Zea mays: one gene and its partner. The protein of the gene in region 2 interacts with the protein of the main gene of each other region in a pairwise test. Links are inferred from orthologs where the notes say so. Each region holds a gene or a part of one and is shown on either strand. Other genes may lie near its edges. The genes, in order: BCAS2 protein and myb2.

Region 1 (8,052 bases), about 120 Mb from region 2:
TGCAAGCGCACCCGACCTGGGCGCAGGACAACACGAAGGTCGTGGGTTTCCCCTTTGCCGTTTCTCCCCCCTTTGTGCTCCATCTCGCGCCGACCCATCTGGGCTAGGACACGCGGCGACAATTTACTCGTCGGTCCAGGGACCCCCCGGGGTCGAAACGCCGACAGTACCCGACACGATAGGTGCGGGTATGGGTGGAGGTTTTGACCCGCAGGTGCAACCCGCATCCGACCCGAAGTTTCGCGGGCGTTGGTGCGGGTTTCTATTTTAACCCGTGGGTGACCCGCACCCGATCCAAATATTGGTTCATTCTTTATTTTGCATAAAAATAATTAAGATACAATACTAATTATTTTGAATAATTAACTTAGCTAATGATTCATAAAATATTCTGTTGCTGGTCAACGTGAAAAGGCTTAAAATCTATAGATATAACTCAATTATTGTTGTTACTCAATTACTTATACATGAATTATTTTTAAAAGTGTACATTAATGCCACGTTTGATCATTGGAATTGAATTTCATTCTAATAATAGTAATTTAGGTATATATCAATTAAGCTAATTTGATTTTATGTAAAATATATTTGTATACTATTATTAGTAAGATATCGGAGATATTTATGTGCTCCATTTTTATTATAAAGAAGTGAACCGAAGAGCGTCATGTAAGTTACAGAGTAAAAACAAATTCTAGTAATACATAAAATCATTTCCCATGCCCCACTCATGAATTTGAGATAGACTTATATCTGAACTTTGGAAAGTGATGAAATGTCAAACTCAAAGCTAAATAGGTTACTTTATTAAGTGAATTCTAATTTCCCTAAAACGAAGGTATCCAAATGCCCCCGCGAGAGTTTTTCATGACTCGATAGTTTGATTGCACGGTAACTTGATAGTTTGATAATTTTTACCGACATTAAAAACTTTTAATGTGATTTCTCTGTGACTTGTAGGTATATCCAGAGCACATGTGCTACCACAGGAGATAGGTTTGTACGAGGGTCTTGACTGGCTCTCGAACAACATTGCAAACAAGGTATTGATTACCAAACTCCACACACTCGTTTGCAAAATTATTGTAGTTTAATCAGCATTCCCATGATCTTTGAAATAAGTCGGACCTTTTTCGCTGCTTAGCATTACCAAGACTGTCATGTACTCATGCGGCACACTGACATACCAATGAACACAGGCCTGATTGGATATTTCTGCGGTTTCACGGAGCACATGGTGAGGCATTTTCCGCAGAAACGGAGCCATGGTCATTTTGATGATTGTTGTTTCATTGGAATGTTTAAGTGTTGTATTTCTTTGGTAGGCTTTTCAGAGAGCTGGTTTTGTTTTGTACTTATGTTGCGTGATTACTCTCAATACATGTTCCGATGTTAAGACACTGTAATTGGCCATTAGCGCTGGTAGATCGTTTACTGAGCAATTCAGTTCATTTTAATGCATCGCAATTGTGCTGTACGATAAGGTTATCACTTGACATTCGCATTGTGGGTATAGTTCGATATGTATCCGGTTCCTAACCACAGCTTATTCATGGCAAAGTTTTAAGATCTTTACCAAATTTCAAAGGAAGGGTATAAAATGCATTGAGAAAACGATGACAACGTCAATCGGCCACATCTTACATTATTATTATTCAGCAAAGCTCCTATCTAGCCTTGCAGCTCCAGCCGTCGCAGGCGCTCCACCTCCCTGCCGATGACGCCGCAGCGCACCATGCTGGCCACCGTCCGCCACAGCAGCCGGAGGTCGCCCCACGGCTCGCCAGGCACCATCCGCTTGTACAGGTAGCTTTCGAACGTCCGCCGCTGCACGTAGTCGTCGGAGCACATCTCCACCAGCGCCTCGCGGCCGGCATTCCCGCCGTAGAACACGCGCTGCAGCAGGTCCAGGAACCGGAACATGAGCAGGAACTCGTCGTCCCAACGCCGCAGGTAGCCGCGCCTCAGCCCGGCCTCCGTCACGGAGCCCGTGCGCGCCCACTCCTCCGCCATGGCCTGCCCGCACAGCCGCCCCGACTTTGCCGCGAAGTAGATGCCCTCGCCGGAGCACCGCGTGACGTACCCCGCCGCGTCGCCGACTAGGGCCACGCGCCCCACGACGCGGCGCGGGCGCGGGTGCTCTGGGATCGGGTGGGCCTCCACCTTGACTACGCGGCCGCCGGCGATCTTGGGGCCCGCGCGCGCCCGGATGCCGGACTGGAGGCGCTTGATCTCCGGCTTGGCGGCGACGGTGCCGGTCCCGACGGCCACGTGGTCGCACTTGGGGAACACCCAGCCGTAGAAGTCCGGGGACACGTCCCCGCCCACGTACATCTCGGCGAGGTCGTCGTAGTACGCCATGCCGGCGTCGGGGAGGCGGATGCGCTCCTGGAACGCGATGGCCGTCGTGTAGTCCCCGGCCCCGACCTCGCGCGCCACGCGGCTGTTGGCGCCGTCCGCGCCGACGATGGCGTCCACCTCCAGCACGCTCCGTCCCGCTCCCACGCCCTCCGGGGAGGACGAGATGTAGTGGACGAGGTAGGGGTCGGCGGGCCCCGCGGGGAGCGAGAGCGAGGTGACGAGGCCCGGGACGAGCTCGGCCCCGGCCTCGACGGCGCGGCGGCGGAGGAAGGAGTCGAGCACCTCGCGGCGGAGCATGGGGATGTGCGCCCCGGGGGGCAGCGCGCGGGAGAAGTCGGCTGCGAGGTTGGAGGGGGAGAGCACGCGCATCCGGGTGACGCGGCGGTCAACGAGGTCCCGCGGGATGGCGAACTCGTCCAGCATACAGAGTGGGATGGCACCGCCGCAGGGCTTGGCGCCCGCGGGGCTGCGCTCGAGGAGGAACGTCCGGGCCCCCGCCGAGGCCAGCGCCTCGGCAGCCGACGCGCCCGCGGGGCCACCCCCCACTACGGCGACGCGCAGCGTGCGCGCTGACGACGATGAGGAGGTGGTGGTGGCTGAGCAGGAGATGATGATGCGCGCTGGCGAATAGCAGGCGGCGGCGGCCATGGTTGTCGCTGTGGTTTGGGCGACTCCGGGAGATTCACTATGGGCTGGACGCTGGAGATTTCCTTCTTGGAGTCTAGCTGCAGGCGCGGTGTGGTGGCTCTGCAGTGGCAGTGTGACAGTTGGAATATGGGTAACAATATGATCTAAATTTTACAATAAAATTTAAGGATCTAATTAAAATCAAGTCTTATTTTTATTTATTTTTTAACTACAATTTATTTAAGGCACTATCATTTTATTAAGAAACATTTGGATCTTAATTCATTACCACCTCTACGTCCTCTACTTGGAACTCGGAAACGGGGGACGAGCCGTCCAGGTACGATTTCGAAGTGTCACTTGTTTACCGTTGGATCTAAAATGGACACATCAAGTGCTTTCAAACATACAGATTTAAAAAAAACCCGGGTTTTTGAAATGCACTGTCTGCAAACACTTGTAAGCGTGTTCAGAAGAGGGCAAAGCACAAGGTATTTTCAGAAACAAGCAGAAAATCAAACAGAAAAGCTTCATGTAAGAACTCAATGTCAACTGGAGAGTCTGCATACATCAGCTGCATTTCTCTTGCCACAAGTTAGGGCACTTCAACGGACAACAATACACGAATTTAGATTCTTCCTCTGCGAGGTGTTTTCAGGAGCACAGGTCATGGGATTGCTAGGCACAGTCCACATTGTTTTCAATATCAAACAGACTGTCCCATATGACAATTGCAGGACAGGTAATCACAATGGCTAATGAAACGTCCAGCTGCCAGACTCAAATGAAGCGTAGCTTCTTCCTTGCCACCTCTGTATCTGTAGTAGCAACAGCATAATTTTGTAAACATAACGGAAACAATGGCTGTCTCGTGGCGTCTCAACTTAACTGGACGGCACATAATGTACCTCAAATCCTCATGATGCTTGTGGGTCGGTTCCTGAGTTGTCGTCCATGGGCATTCCCCTGTTAACAAGTATTCTATCACGATTCATATGTATAGATGGAAAGGTCGGCCTGATCTGGTTAAAACATTTTCTGGGTAAACCCGCCCCAACCCGTAGGCCGTAGCTATTCTCCTCCGGTTTGGTACCCACAGATACGACAACAGCCAAGGTGGTGGCAGTGAGCGCCATGCAGGTGTCGTACAACAGATCGTAGGCCACACGGAAGAGGACATATCCGCCTCCGTGGAAGTAGATGATCAGCGGCAGCCAGTCATGGACGCCGGACCCGGACGGCACGAAGAGGCAGCACAGATGAGATGGGAAGGCAGGATTGTCAAGGTAGCGGCTGCAGTTTCTTTACTCAATTGGCAGGACCGGTATCAGCAACTTCAATAAGATAGGAAGGTGCACCGACAGCAGGAAGAAGATGAACCCACGGGTTAAGTGGTTTGGACACGATGCAAACCAGCATGTACATTGCCTCTATGTGCGGTTTGCTATGGTCTTCCTGGGTTGGGCTGGGTTGTAACCAGACTATGAACAGGCCTAGGGAGAGGGAGGGGGGAAGAAGAGAGTACACGTACAGTTCTTTTGCTTCAAGTTTAAGCTGATCAATATGATTCTGCAGGTCAACACAAGCAGCCTGAATAGCTATATTTTTTTGACACAGCTCCTGCCATTCCATTTTCAGGGCATGCAGCTGTCCTCCAGTATTTTGCTGATTAAAAAACAAATTATGAGCTGACAATGAAATATTATCATGACTCAAACTTCCAAATAAAGAGATCAATGCTTATAACCTGGTGGAACTTCCTCTCGCGATTGACATTTTCTATCCTTTCATTGTATTCTACAGCCATCTTTTGCATCCTGCATATAAGATGGCAGATCATGTCTCAAATCCATATAAGTGTGACACTGATTGGTAATATTTTAAACCTATAAAACATGTAGAGTGCTTCAGTGGACATCTAAGCTCGCACTATCACTGACATATCACACATAAGATCAACAAAATATGATTTAGATACATCATTTTTTGTCGCTTCCCAATAACTGATAGTGCAATCCGTAAACCAAACTAAGGGCACATTTAGTGCGGTTCCTCCGCAGGCACTCTGTTGCCGGAGCGGGAGCCCCGGAAACCAGCTTCGCATCCATACATGTAAAACAGCCCCAGTTCCTCTTCCACAGGTGCAGAAGCGTTTCTCCTCTCCTGGCTGTTTGGTGCAACTCCGGCTCCAGCCTCCGACGCCGAAGCTGCCAATGGAGCCATAGCCAGCATGGCACCAAACAGGCCGTGTTCTAAATGGAAGGCAAGAAAGAAGAGACACGACATTGTCAAGGACCACATAGACATTAACTTACCTAGACAGAACTGATTCCATTTGTCTGTTCTGGAGCTTCCAAACATCTACGCCATATTTCAGCATAAGCTCGAGATTCTCTATCCTGCAATACTAGCACTGTTTCAAAACATATTTTCAAAATAAGGCACCAATAAATTTCTATTTATCATAAACAGAAAAACAGATAAAGGTTTGTCCAGCAATAGAGTAACAGTAATGGCTTTTCCTTTTATTCATCACTTTTATGAGGCATGAAAGTTTCAAGATTTGAAATTTGAATACATTTACTAAAAATAACATGCAGGTTTAATGACAAAAATAATGTACTGTTAGATTATAATATTATGGCTGTCATTTCATAGTTATCACTTATCAAAACATATAAATTACAGAAATGAATGGTCAAATTCAAAATTGCCCTACAGAAATCATTGAAGAGAGTAATAAAAATATAGGCATCGTGAACTTGTGACCTTTATATTAAATGGGGTAGAAAATGCAACTACGCAGAGAAAAAGTTCATTAACTCAGCATGCAGCAGATTTTATGCATTTGTGGAGAAACAAGGGCACTATTCTGACTATGGCATGTCAGGAATGGTTATGGCAGCTTATCAGTACATACGTTAGAGTTAAGATTTTTTTCACATCACGCTAAACAACAGTGCAAGCCATATTCATTATTATACAAGCTATAAACTTGTAGCTGTCACAAAAATGCTTTACTTAGTTTCTACATAGACACACAGTTCTGCAAATAGGCATCTATGTTATAGAATGTGAATACATAACCCCTGATGCACCAAAAATAATACCTTGACTTACCTTATAATTTGATGCTGCAACTGGCTCTGAGCATTCCGTAGAGCCTGCCTCCAAGCGCCAACATCATTCCTCTTGTTCATTGGAGGTGGCTCCAAACCATAGCGAGACATATCTAGCATAAAAGGAGGTTTGCCAGCCCTAACACGTTCATATTCTTTAGAAAGCATAGGATGATTCTGAAACAAAAAATGATAGCATACTTTACGTTAATTACACCACACATAGATTTTCAAACAGTCAAAACCTGCGGATTTCTTGATTCAGATCAAGGTTCCGGTTTTGATATGACACAATAGTTAAAAATCAAGTATATCTAAGATATCTATGGACTATGGAATTGAAATACATGAAAAAGAAGATAGTAGCTTCACAAGGTCCAAGTTTAATAACAGTGCTCACTAAATAGTACAGAATATTCTGTTAAAAACTTCCAAGTCATGTTTCAATATTGAATTTCAATTAGAGATGCATACTTCATCATAAATGGTCAATGCTTGATCCTCAGACCTCAGTGTCATGACCAGATGAGGTGTAACCTCAAATCCATCAGAAGTAAACATCAATCAATCCATCGAACTAATAAAAGCATAAGCAGGTCCTTTTCTGAGCATTATTCCTTTATCTGAGCCCGAAGTAAACATCTAGCACAAAAATCCTTGATCTGTGCAGGATGTCCATCTAAAGTACTGTAACAAAAGACAGACTACAAGAGCATGATGCCCCAGCTTAACATGCACTGTTACAGAAACGGATCACAAAACTGTGACTGTTAGATGTTATACCTATTATACAACCCAATTAAGGGGGTGTTTGGTTTCTAGGGACTAATGTTTAGTCCCTTCATTTTGTTCCATTTTAGTATATAAATTGACAAATATAGAAACTAAAATAGAGTTTTAGTTTCTATATTTGATAATTTTGTAACTAAAGTGGAATAAAATGTAGGGACTAAAAATTAGTCCCTAGAAACCAAACACCCCCTAAATGGTTCGCAGGTAAAATGTAAAGGGGTTGTCAACTAAAACTTCAATTTCATATGCAATAGTTAATTAGTTATAAAGTCTAAACAATGCAGAGATACATTGACCCAACCAAGTTAATTTACTTAGGCGGTCTCCAACCAATTTAATAGAGGGAAGAGGGAGGTATTTAAATATGAATAGAGAATGTGAATAGGGGGATTTGAGAGGGGGAATGGTTGGATTCAGCCTTAGAGCTCCACAAAATCTAAATAACGAAAACATATATTTATAATCCATCCAGCTAACTTGGTTCACTGTGACCTCTACAACTGCAAACCCTAGCTCCCGCACGACCCTCCTTTGAACCCTAAACGCAGATCGCACCTGCTAACATCGACGAAGCTGCAACCTTATGCTAAGCCCCTAACATCCGCGGAGAAAACGTAATGGGTTCGAGCTACTCCCCAATATACCTTTGGGGCTAAGAAATCTCTGCAACTGTACCTCGAATCCGGCGGTGGGAACAGGGGGCAGGTCCCGGAGGAAGTCTGCAGGCTTGCGCTTCCCTCGGCGCATCTCCTCCTCGACGAGGCGATCGACCTCCCGCTTCACCGCCGCATCGCCGTAGTCGCCGTCGATGTAGGGCAGCGCGTCAATGGCCTCCGCGTCCGGCACCGCGCGCCAGGGCCCCGCAGCGGGGTCGGACGGCGGAGGCGCCTCAAGCATGAGAACCTCTCTCGTCGCCGACGAGGCCATCGCGTCAGGCTGTAGCGGCGCAGTCGAGAGTCGAGACTCGAGAGAGAGAGGGAAGCAGTCGCGTAGGCCGGCGCGGAGGAGGAAGCGGAGGTGGGATGGCCGGATGGAGATGGAGGAAACGCGGCGCACGTGGGCCGTTTGGCGTTTTGGATTGAGCACGGTTCGAAAGGCCCGTGTCTACTGTTTTTTTTTTCTCTCTAGGGAGAGAACCCGTCAGCACTCTATT
Region 2 (10,016 bases):
TGGCCACTCGAAGGTATTGAATCTCCTCTTCAACCATAGAGCTAGCCTGCCAATTCGAAAAAAGACCATTTGTACAACTTATTCCATCATTACATAACTGCAATAAGCATAGAGGACTGCTCACAGAATAAAAGAAAAAAAATGAAGAAGCATATGAACTATGAAGTCACACACTATAAATGGTTTGATAACTACCATGCTTGTAGATTATGTATTATTGTATTGTGCTGTATGTAGTTCTTTTAGCCATTCAAATGCCCGGTTTAGTTATTGGAATTAATTTCAACGCAGATACATGTATGTATGTTGTAGGAGTTTCATGAAGATTATAATGCAAAGCTCAAACTTGTTGACAACATTATAGTGCATAAACAGAGGATTCTAGGTGCAAAGTTGAATCCCATAAAAATGACAGTTGTCACACATCGACAATTCTAATCATCTGCACTTGAAGAGAAGATTCTAATTGTCAAACTCATGTCTTAAAGAATGGCTGTGCTTGCTCTTGCTGCAGATTTTTGCAACTGCAGCTGTGGAAACAGCAAATAGAATTCTACTGCAGTACTGCTTCTATAACGACTAGCATGCAACTACAGCCTACAGCTGCAACCTAAAAATGACAGTCAATCAGGGAAAATATGTTCAAATTTTGTGTACCAGAAATTTCAATAATTTATTTTAACTATGACCTCTGCCTTACAGGATATTACTCATGTAAATCTATGTATTTGCTATTAAATCAAAATGCCAGTTGACCTCAGTTCAATTAACTCAATGTAATTTGTAATTAAGTACTGCAAATAATGAACAGTGTCATGTCATTGAGATACAGGAAGATGTGCGCATAGCCTCTCAAGTTACAGTTTATCCAAATAGTTCCATGAAACTGTGCATGTGGTGGGGTCTAATTAAATAATGACGAAACTATCAGGAAAGAGATACAGTTCATCATGAATATTCTAATACAAATAAAGAGGATGAAGAAAAAGAATAGCACCTCTTTTAGTTCATCTTCATCAAAATCATCAATTTCAGGGACAAGAGGTCCTCCATTTTGCTGACGCTTGCTTCCTTTCTTTTTCTCTTTTTGAGTTTTTTCATCAAGAGGATATTTTGCATTATCATGCTCAAGAAGCCTAAGGAGTTCCTCATTTATTAGTTCATCAGCTTGTTCAAGTGATGTAGGAGGCATAAAGGTGCTTCTGCTTCTGCTTTCTCCACTTCTAATAAGAGATTGCCGGATAATCTCTACTGAAACAGCCGGTGGCCTAGGCAGACTCCTCTGCAACACTTTGGATCTCTTTCTGAGCAATGCCTCATGCCTAGCTTGTTCCTCAGCCCTTTCTCGTGCCAGTCTGTCTGACATGTCCTCTTCAATTTTCTCTTCAGCTTCTTCTTTCTCATCTTCCGTAATAGGTGGCATGACTATCTGGTACTCATTCTTTGGTTGTGGAATAGAAGCAAAACCAGATCGCAGGCTTTTCCTCAGTTCGGCTTGCCTACGAAGCTCAAGTTTAGTGTTGTCCTGCATTTCCACTTCATTTATGTTAAGTTCATCACGAAGAGGAGTTGCTTTCGGTGTTAAACCAAAGCTGTGCCCCTCTCTGGATGGTGTCATACTAATCCTTGGAGTAATACCAGGGCCAGGGCTTGCTAAAGGTGTTGCCATTGGATTTGGAGTCTGTATCTCCTTCTTGCGTGGTGTAACACCAGAGAAATCTGATGGATGAAGCTCTGGGTTATCACCTCCTAATAGAGGTGTTTGTGATTCTCTGAGACGTGCAAGATTTTCTGCCTCCATCATGATTGCATCACCCTTCCCAGCTGGAGTTCGCTGCGGAGTTCGCAATGGTGTCATACCAAGCCTTGGAGTCTGAGAATAGCTGGCAAGCAAGGTTCTTGTGGCAGTGCTTCCTTCACCAAGCTCATCAGCTAAAGCAGGATCACCAGCACTGCCCATCTTTGCTATCTCCTCTAGCTCGTGGTCAGAAATTTGAGGAGGCGGCAGCATTAGCTTTGACCTCTTTGTGACAGCTTCTGGATCATTTAGTTTATTCGCTTGCATTATAGCAGCAGGGGCATCCTGTCGCTGCAGGATCTTGTTCCTGGCAATATCCTGTTTTCTTAATTGTGCCTCTATATCTGCTCTTCTCTTCCCTTCAAGCTCCTCAATGGTTGTTGGAAACTGTACATGTTCAGGTGGTCTGTCTTCACCAACAGTATCATAAAAACCTGAAGGTGGTCTCTTTTCAAATGGAATCTCAGCATTGTAGTCAATCCCCTTTCTCTTTCTTTTTCTGTGGCGTGTATCAATACCAGCTGCCTTCAATTCTCTCCTTTTTTGTAGTGAAGCAAGCCTTCTTGCTTCTTCAAGTTGTTTCTCCCTTGCCTTCCGTTTGGCCTTTTTACCCCTAGTGTTAGCTAAGCGGGCCCTAGCCTCAGAAAGCATTTCTTTTTCATCTTCATCCATATCAACAGGATCAGGACGTGCGGGCTTTGACTCAGGGTTTGGGTCAATCTCGCCAGGCCGCAGCTTCCTAGGATCATCATTAGCCTCATAATTTTCATCCTTTGCACATGCGGCGTCAAGCAGCTTTTCATAACGTTCAAGACACTGAGATGGTGTTCGACCTACAATAGGTGCAATTGTCCTCCACTGAGTAGGCATGAGTTTAGCAAGATGAAGTAATTTCTCATCCTCCTCCCTTGTCCACTCGGTCTGAAATTAACATAGATGAGTTAGCACAGTGAGAGAAACAATAAACAATCATCTTGGTGACAAACAAGAAAGACCTATGCCATAAGCCCATAATAGAGCAAATGACCAATGAAAGAACTATTTTGAAGGTTATGGGTTTTTTAAACCATTCATGTCAAAACATTGCAGATGATGTGATTTCAGAGAACTTCACTGAAGTTAAAAATTAGATGATAGTGCCCGCCGTACAGTAACCAAACACCTTATTACAAGTACTAGTGTATCACACATTCATTTAGATTAAGAGCCTGTGTTAACAAACAAAAGACATTTAATTACTACATTATACTTTTAACAACATGGGTCCACATTCCATCAATGAAGAAAAGGCGTTAATTGCTTGACCAATCAGATCCATAGCAACATTCTGGACACAACCAAATATTCAAAGAGGAAACTGGACGGCTTTGTCTTCTATTTTTAAGAAGCAAATTCTGAATATTGACAGGAAGAAATAAAAAAAATAGAGACAATAGTTCTTCTAAACATCAGTAATGCACTGCTTCTAAATATGATTTGTAGTGGCTAGTAACATTCCAAGTTGTATCAATACAATGATGAAAATGCTAACATAGTTTGTATTGATTTTATTCATCATACAAACTATCAAATGATAAACTTAGAGCGGACATTCATCTCATAAATATATTAAAGCGTGAAAAGTTCAATAGCTCTAGGTTGCCAAGAAACTATTGTCAATTAAAAAATTTGACATCTGCCAAAAAAGCTGCATGCTAGAAGCCAGTAATAACCAATCATTTACACAGTAATAACTACAAATCTGTAGACACTAAAATTTTTCCAGAAGCTAACCAGCTCCAAAACAAGATAAGTAGACCCTTTCATAACTATAGCATGTTAATGTTCCATTACCTAATGCTCATATTTCACCCTGCTCTTCTAATTAAATACATCAAGACTAGATAAGGTAAAATTCGAACTCACCTGACCAAATTAAGTGTTGAAATGTTGAATCAGCCAGTTTAGCTTATTCATTCAAACTTAAAAGGCTACCTAGGTGCATTTTCACAGTGTGATAAATTTTAGACAGATTACAACAGGTAGTCAGCATGAAACTGCTGTTGCTAATAAACCTATTTAGTAACTGAGAACCTAACTGTAAAAGTGACATGCAACTGATCACGACACAGTAGCTAGGGTTAGTTGTTCCTGGTTAAGTACACCACTCTGAATAACCAAGTCCAGTGAAAAGAGCTGTCCTTCAACATAATTCAGAATTTCAGATAAAATAAAGTAACTTCCCAGTGGACCAAACCTTCTACATTCAAAATCAACTTTATGAAGAAGTTAACATCTGCTATAGACATTTCGCGCAACCAAACTATCAAATTTTACTTAAACAGTGCAAAGTTTCTCTTTTGGCAAGAAAAATGATTCAGGTGCTTAGTCCAGTTATATTTAGTTACCACTAGACTGTAAAAACTTTCATTCAGTTAATATCTATGTTGAAATGTATGTTATCTAGCTAGTAGAAATATTAAATGTTATTAGATGATGTTGAATCCATAGGATATAAGAAGAAGGGCAGACCCAACCGAGGCAAGCCTCCCCCCGCCCCAATGCGAAGAAACTGCTTCGAACCAACGACCTGGTGACTCAGTGAGACATATCTCACCACTACACCAGGACTGCCCTTCAGAATCAATAGATAATAATGTATATAACGATATAAACACGGATGCTTATCAAGACAAAAGCAAAAGATATTAATTCATTATCTGGCTCCAGAAAGCATTAGATTCAATAACCTACTCCCACTGTCCCAAAATATAATTCGTTTTAGACTAAACATACATTAATGAATTAATCTATGAATGTAGTTTGTATGTATGTCTAGTTGTCTACATTCATTCGAATGAATGTGGACAGAAAAAATGGGAGGCTAGAAAGAACTATATTTTGGGATGGAGGGAGTACTAAAGTAAGGATGTCAATATTTCGTATTACCGCCAACTTGCAACTCGAGATATTCAAGCTGAAAGACGATATTCTTTTATCTGATTCTAAAGTTTGCCAGTTCGAATGTTTGTGAAAGGATAACGGCTGATAACACTTAGAGTCATCTAATGATTGATATTACCAAAATTCATAACCAGCACACCTATCAAAGTTCATAGAGCATAAATCTTGCTGTTGTTCCAACTTCCAATGCATAAATGCATAGGACAAACATTTTTTTCTCTTTTAGCATGCAGGGGACATTGTTACCAAAACTGCTAAGAATTAGGTCATGCATTAAGCATGCAAGATTTCATAGGAAAGGAAATCACTTATTGACTTGTAGTGCTTTCCACTTTCTCGGCAGAATGTGCTGAGCTTCTTAAAAGTTTAATTCAAACGAACTCGCCACTCCAGAATCCTTAATAACCACATCTGTACTGTTGAGTGAACAAGAAACCATCCAGTGACAGTTACCCTCTCATTATGAATTGCATGCTTCCCAGTGCAGAAGGATTCAGAAAAAGAAAAAGACAGTGTTCTAAACGTGGCAGCTAGATCTTTAGGAGAACGACACTCCAAGCAAAGCGAAAATCAGTGATAGAACGGCGACCGGGCAGTGAGGCTAGTCTGCCGAGAGAGGAAGACAGAACCGTAAGAGAGGCGAGCAGTCGGTTACCTTCTTGATGGACGGATCGAGCCACTCATACCAGCGGGCCTTGCACTGCTTGGCGGACTTGCGGACGAGCAGCGACGAGATGCGCGCCCACTGGTTCTTGCCGTACTTCATCACGGCCGCCTTGAGGATCTCGTCCTCCGTGTTCTTCCACACGCCTCCCTTGATCATGATCCTCATCGTGCCCCACTCTGACCTGATTCGCCTCCTCCGCTAGTTTCTCCCTCCCCCGGTAAGGGGAGGGGAGGGGTAATCGGTTTCCGACTTCCTCCGCCGCTAGCCCCTGGAGGGGGCTCCGGCGACGCCTAGAGTCCCACACGGAGCGGCGGACCTCCGGGGGAGGGCGGTGGCTCAGGTTTAGGGTTCGGTGAGGTGAGCGCGGCGGCGGCGTACGCGCGCGGTGAGGAAGGGGAGCGAATCGGCGAGGTTTGGGTTCTGTTGCTTACGATGACAGGTATCGTCGACAGTTTCAAGGCCCAAAGAACGATAGCTGAAGTGGGCTCCATTTGCGCTCGTTCATCTCTGAACAGCCCATCAGGCCCGAGAGAGCGAAGGCCGTCTTAGTAGGAGCAGGCCCAGTCCTAGAGAGATTTTTGTCATTATAAAATACGACACATTCCGCTTCATCGAAACGGAGGCGTTGAGAGAGAGATTCGAGGATATGGAAAAACAGAGGACATCTATCCGACGAAATAGACTCAAAATCTTGATTAGCCGCTGAGGAGAATCATTAGGCCGCCTACGTTTCGAATCCGTCGTCGTCCGTCAGTAGATATCGATTTTGCTGAGACTGTGAGGAACAAGCCGAGCCACTGCAAGACGACCTCGTTCCCGCTGCGGTAGACGAAGACGTGCACCGGACAACCTCACCGTCGTCGTCGTGGCGCTTCCGGCCGTCGTCGGTGTCAGAATCGGAGGAACAGGAGGAGGTGGAGTGACTCTTATGGGGTTCCTGCAACGACACGCGGTCGTCCCTCTCGAGCGAGCTGGAGAAGGACGGGTGCGAGCGCAGCTGCGTCGTCCTGCCGAGCTCCTCCATCTCCAGGTCGAGGTCGAGCGACACCTCGCCGCCGGATGCCGCCTGTTGTAACTTGCTCTCTGCAGCAAGAAGGCCAACAAGAGTGAACGGTGGTGACAACAGGGTTACGTGCACGGGGGCAATAGCACTGTTGATCTAGCCCCTCACGGGCACTGTGCGGGGGTATTTATAGGTATCTGAGTGCCCAGCGTCTTGTGTTAAGGACGCATGTGCCCTCAGACACCTATTTTATCCCCAGAATATTCCCATAAAGCAGGGTTACAGACCGTAATTACAAGTACTCCTTTACAAGTCAGGCCCGTAATACAGAGGCGGCCACGCGGGGCCCGTTACAATGGGCCAGATCGCACGTGGGCCTTGGGACTGAACGAGGACGCGCCGTGGTAGGACGTCGCCGCAGGCCTTCGTCAACGTGCCGAGTCTTGCGAAGGGTGTCCCTGCCCGCTTTGTCTCTGTCGGACCAGCGGCTGCAGCGAAGGCCTCGAGCGAAGGGTGGCGTCTTTGCCTTCGCCCCAACATTTGCCCTCCGAGGGACCAGTTCGACAAAGTCACCTGGTGCCGAAGACGTCGCTAGATGGCGGAGACGCTGCCCTCGCTCGAAGTGGTTCCGCGGGGGTTTTTGATGTGACCGTTGATGGACGGCGTACTGTTGGATTGCGGGTTTCCCGAAGCGTCGCGGCCTGTCGGATTGCGGGTTTCCCGAAGAGCCGCGCCCCGCCTATAAAAGGGGGGCGGGGGCGGCGCTTTTTGAACTCTGCCTTCCGCGCTCCGTAAAACCCTAGCCGCCCGTCGTCTTGCTGCTCCTTTTCCTCCGCTGCTCCCTTAACTCGCCGGCGTTCTGGCTCGAGTGAAGCAGACCGCCCGCCGCCGACGACGGTACGTAGCAATGCCATCCTCTTCTTCCTCCGCCGACGCCGCGTCGCCGGCCGCCGCCTCGTCTGAGGAGACGTTGAGTAACGTGGAGGTGGAGGAGTTGCGCGCCGGCGACTCTGTTGAATTTGGTGTGTCACGGATGACGTCAGCCCGCATTGAAGATATGCAGCGGTTGGGCTACTTTGGCGGCGGGGTCGCCCGTGCTCCGGGGACGGAGGAAGTCCCCGAGCCGGAGGGCGAGTTGGTTGTTTTCGAGGCGTTCTTCGTCGCCGGACTCCGCTTGCCGGCGCACCGTTTTGTCAGCGAAGTCCTGCGTAGATTCAGCGTTCAAATACATCAGCTGACACCGAACGCCATAGTGGCGCTGGCGAAGTATGTCTGGGCGACGACTTCGTACGGCGGACAGCCATCGGTTGAAGTTTTTGCGAAGAATTATTGTTTGCATTGGCAGAAAAGGATGGTTGAGGACGGAATTGCCCAGTTCGGGTCATGTACATTCACGCCGAAGACCGGCAAGACCACAATGCCAGTAGTGGAGTTGGTCCCGTGCGCCCGCAACAAGTGGGGCAATTGGAATGAATTTTGGTTTTATGTTGCTGAGGCTACTGTCGAAGGCCATGAAGGGCTCCCCGTGTCCTTAATGTGCTCTCACTATTACTCTGCGTATCCACCTTATGAAGTGGCAGAAGAGGATGCAGACGAAGGGGCCCTTCGGTGCGCCGCCGGTCAGAGCAGCGGTCGAGATTTAGTTGAAGAGTTCGTGGCGTACGGGGTCTGGCCCTTGGCGCACGGCTGGGCGCTGGGCGAAGTATGCCCTCGCCAGATGCCCTTTCACGGAGGAAGGGTGGTGCGAAGCCCTGCCTTCGCACTGAATTTGCGAAACCGTGACCCGGCCGCCTTTGTGCGTGATGCGGAGGGCTTGACGGTGCGGCTCGTGGGGCGTTACGTGCCGAGGACGGAAGGCCAGCGCAGCTTTGACATCCGCGGGTCAAATGAACGCTTGAACAGGGTATTCGAATTAAATCAACTGCCGTACGACGGTTACCCTGGACAAGACGAAGCGGACCGCCGTGGGAAGAAGCCGGCGGTGGAGACTGGAGGCGACCCTGCGCTGGTGGCCGCCGCCTCCTCGAAAAAGAGAAAATTAGGTACTGCGATGGGAAGACTTGGGGTGTCTGATAGTTTCGCTAGAGATTTAATGAGGACGTGTGCGGCCCCGGGGGAGAGGATGTCTTCGCCCGAGCTCCGGGAGTCTTCGGCTCGGATGCTGAGGGTTACCGGGGGTTGTTGGCCTAAAAACATTCCTATCCCCTGCGCGGCTGAGGAGGACTGTTTTACATCTCGTATGGTTCATCGGTGGAAAGTTTTTCCTTATGGGCGAAATATCGGTCATGTTGTGTGGGCAGTGATGGACAAGGATCGCCAAGGCGCGGCGCGAAAACGCCAGGCGACTGTGAGGGTTCACGAAGCCCGGCCGAAAAGGCATCGGGGAACGGCGAAGGCTGAGGCCTCTGGCGGAGGCAAGCCGCCGCTGCCGACGAAGGTGGGCGCCTCCGCGCCTGGCAAGGCGCCGGAGACGACGGTGGGCGCCGGAGGCCCCAAGCTGTCGAAGGTGGTGCCGTCTGCCAGCGGGGTGGCGGAGGCTGCGAAGGCGGCCCGATCGCTACCGCTGCCTAGCAAGCGCGTTGCCGACTTCGGCACCGAGATTGATGTGGACGACTATCTTGGGGGTAAGTATATATGAATATATATACCTCTTTTTTTTTCTTTTTTTTTTAATTGTTGACGCGTTGCAGGGTCGGACGAGGGCCCGCTTGCTCTAGTTGTGCCTGGCGCGGCGATCGCGACGGCTGCGCCAGCGCCGAAAGCGGGGGGAGAGACCCTTGGCGCCGGAGGCGAGGTGTCTGCCCTCGCGCTGGTCAGAGACGAGGCGGGCGTGGCGACCCGTCGGCTGAAGGGAGCGACGGAGGCGCTGAGTCGAGCGACGGAGGCGCTGAGTCAGGTCCGCCGAGCTATACATTTTTTTCTTTTTTTCTTTTCTTTTTTTTTTACGCAACGACCTTACGTGTGTTCTGCAGGTGGCTGACTTCACCAGCCGCACTGCGTCGGGGGCCCTTACGGCAGCGTTGTCTGCCGAGGTCGAGAGACTTCGGACGCAACATGCGGACGCTGTCCGTGAGAAGTCGGCCTCCGACAGCAAGTGCCGCAAACTGGCGGAGAAGGTGGCCGTCCTTGAGAAGGAGAAGGCTGACCTCCGGCGCCAGCTGGCGGGGGAGAGGAGGGAGGCCAATGAAGCCATCGCCAAAGAGCAGGCTGCGCAGGCGGAGGCCAGGTTGGCGCGGGCGGAAGGCAATATCGCCAAGGAGCTTGCCGGAGAGCTGCAGCGGCGGCTTACTGCCCAGGAGAGCCGCGCGGAGGGGGCCGAGGCCGCGATGCGAGCGGAGGCCGAACGGACGCGCACGCAGCTCATGACTTCATATCGCGAGCTGGGTGTGCGGACGGGTGACTTCGAGGTGCCGGAGCGAGAGGCCGGGCTTCGCTGTCTGGAATGGGTGCAGGAGGAACTGCAGGAGCTCCCCACTGTCTTGGCGGGGTTGATGGCGTTCACCTCCCTGGTCACCTGCGAGGCAGCGATGAACGCGCTCTCTCGCGAAGGCTGCCGGCACTTTGAGGCCCTCGACTAGGTGGATGAGGATTTTGGGCGTGATATC

What was found.
Region 1: the proteins of myb2 (region 2) and BCAS2 protein interact in binary tests that used the Arabidopsis thaliana proteins (3 or more experiments, as listed by UniProt). The link is inferred for Zea mays from reciprocal best matches to the Arabidopsis thaliana genes CDC5 and MOS4.

What each region holds. Positions count from the first base shown.
Region 1 is NC_050098.1:40,101,642-40,109,693, forward strand, and holds BCAS2 protein, read right to left. Parts: upstream 7,976-8,052; 5' UTR 7,827-7,975; coding exon 7,575-7,826; intron 6,285-7,574; coding exon 6,109-6,284; intron 5,388-6,108; coding exon 5,304-5,387; intron 5,196-5,303; coding exon of another isoform or gene 4,907-5,195; exon of another isoform or gene 4,812-4,906; intron 4,806-4,811; coding exon 4,736-4,805; intron 4,654-4,735; coding exon 4,520-4,653; intron 3,955-4,519; coding exon 3,906-3,954; 3' UTR 3,897-3,905; exon of another isoform or gene 3,807-3,896; 3' UTR 3,488-3,806; downstream 1-3,487. Other genes in the region: geranylgeranyl diphosphate reductase, chloroplastic-like, read right to left, coding at 1,672-3,009. UniProt on the Arabidopsis thaliana protein: Component of the MAC complex that probably regulates defense responses through transcriptional control and thereby is essential for plant innate immunity. Involved in mRNA splicing.
Region 2 is NC_050098.1:159,739,524-159,749,539, reverse strand, and holds the start of myb2, read right to left. Parts: upstream 5,749-10,016; 5' UTR 5,574-5,748; coding exon 5,397-5,573; intron 2,720-5,396; coding exon 998-2,719; intron 47-997; coding exon 1-46. UniProt on the Arabidopsis thaliana protein: Component of the MAC complex that probably regulates defense responses through transcriptional control and thereby is essential for plant innate immunity. Possesses a sequence specific DNA sequence 'CTCAGCG' binding activity.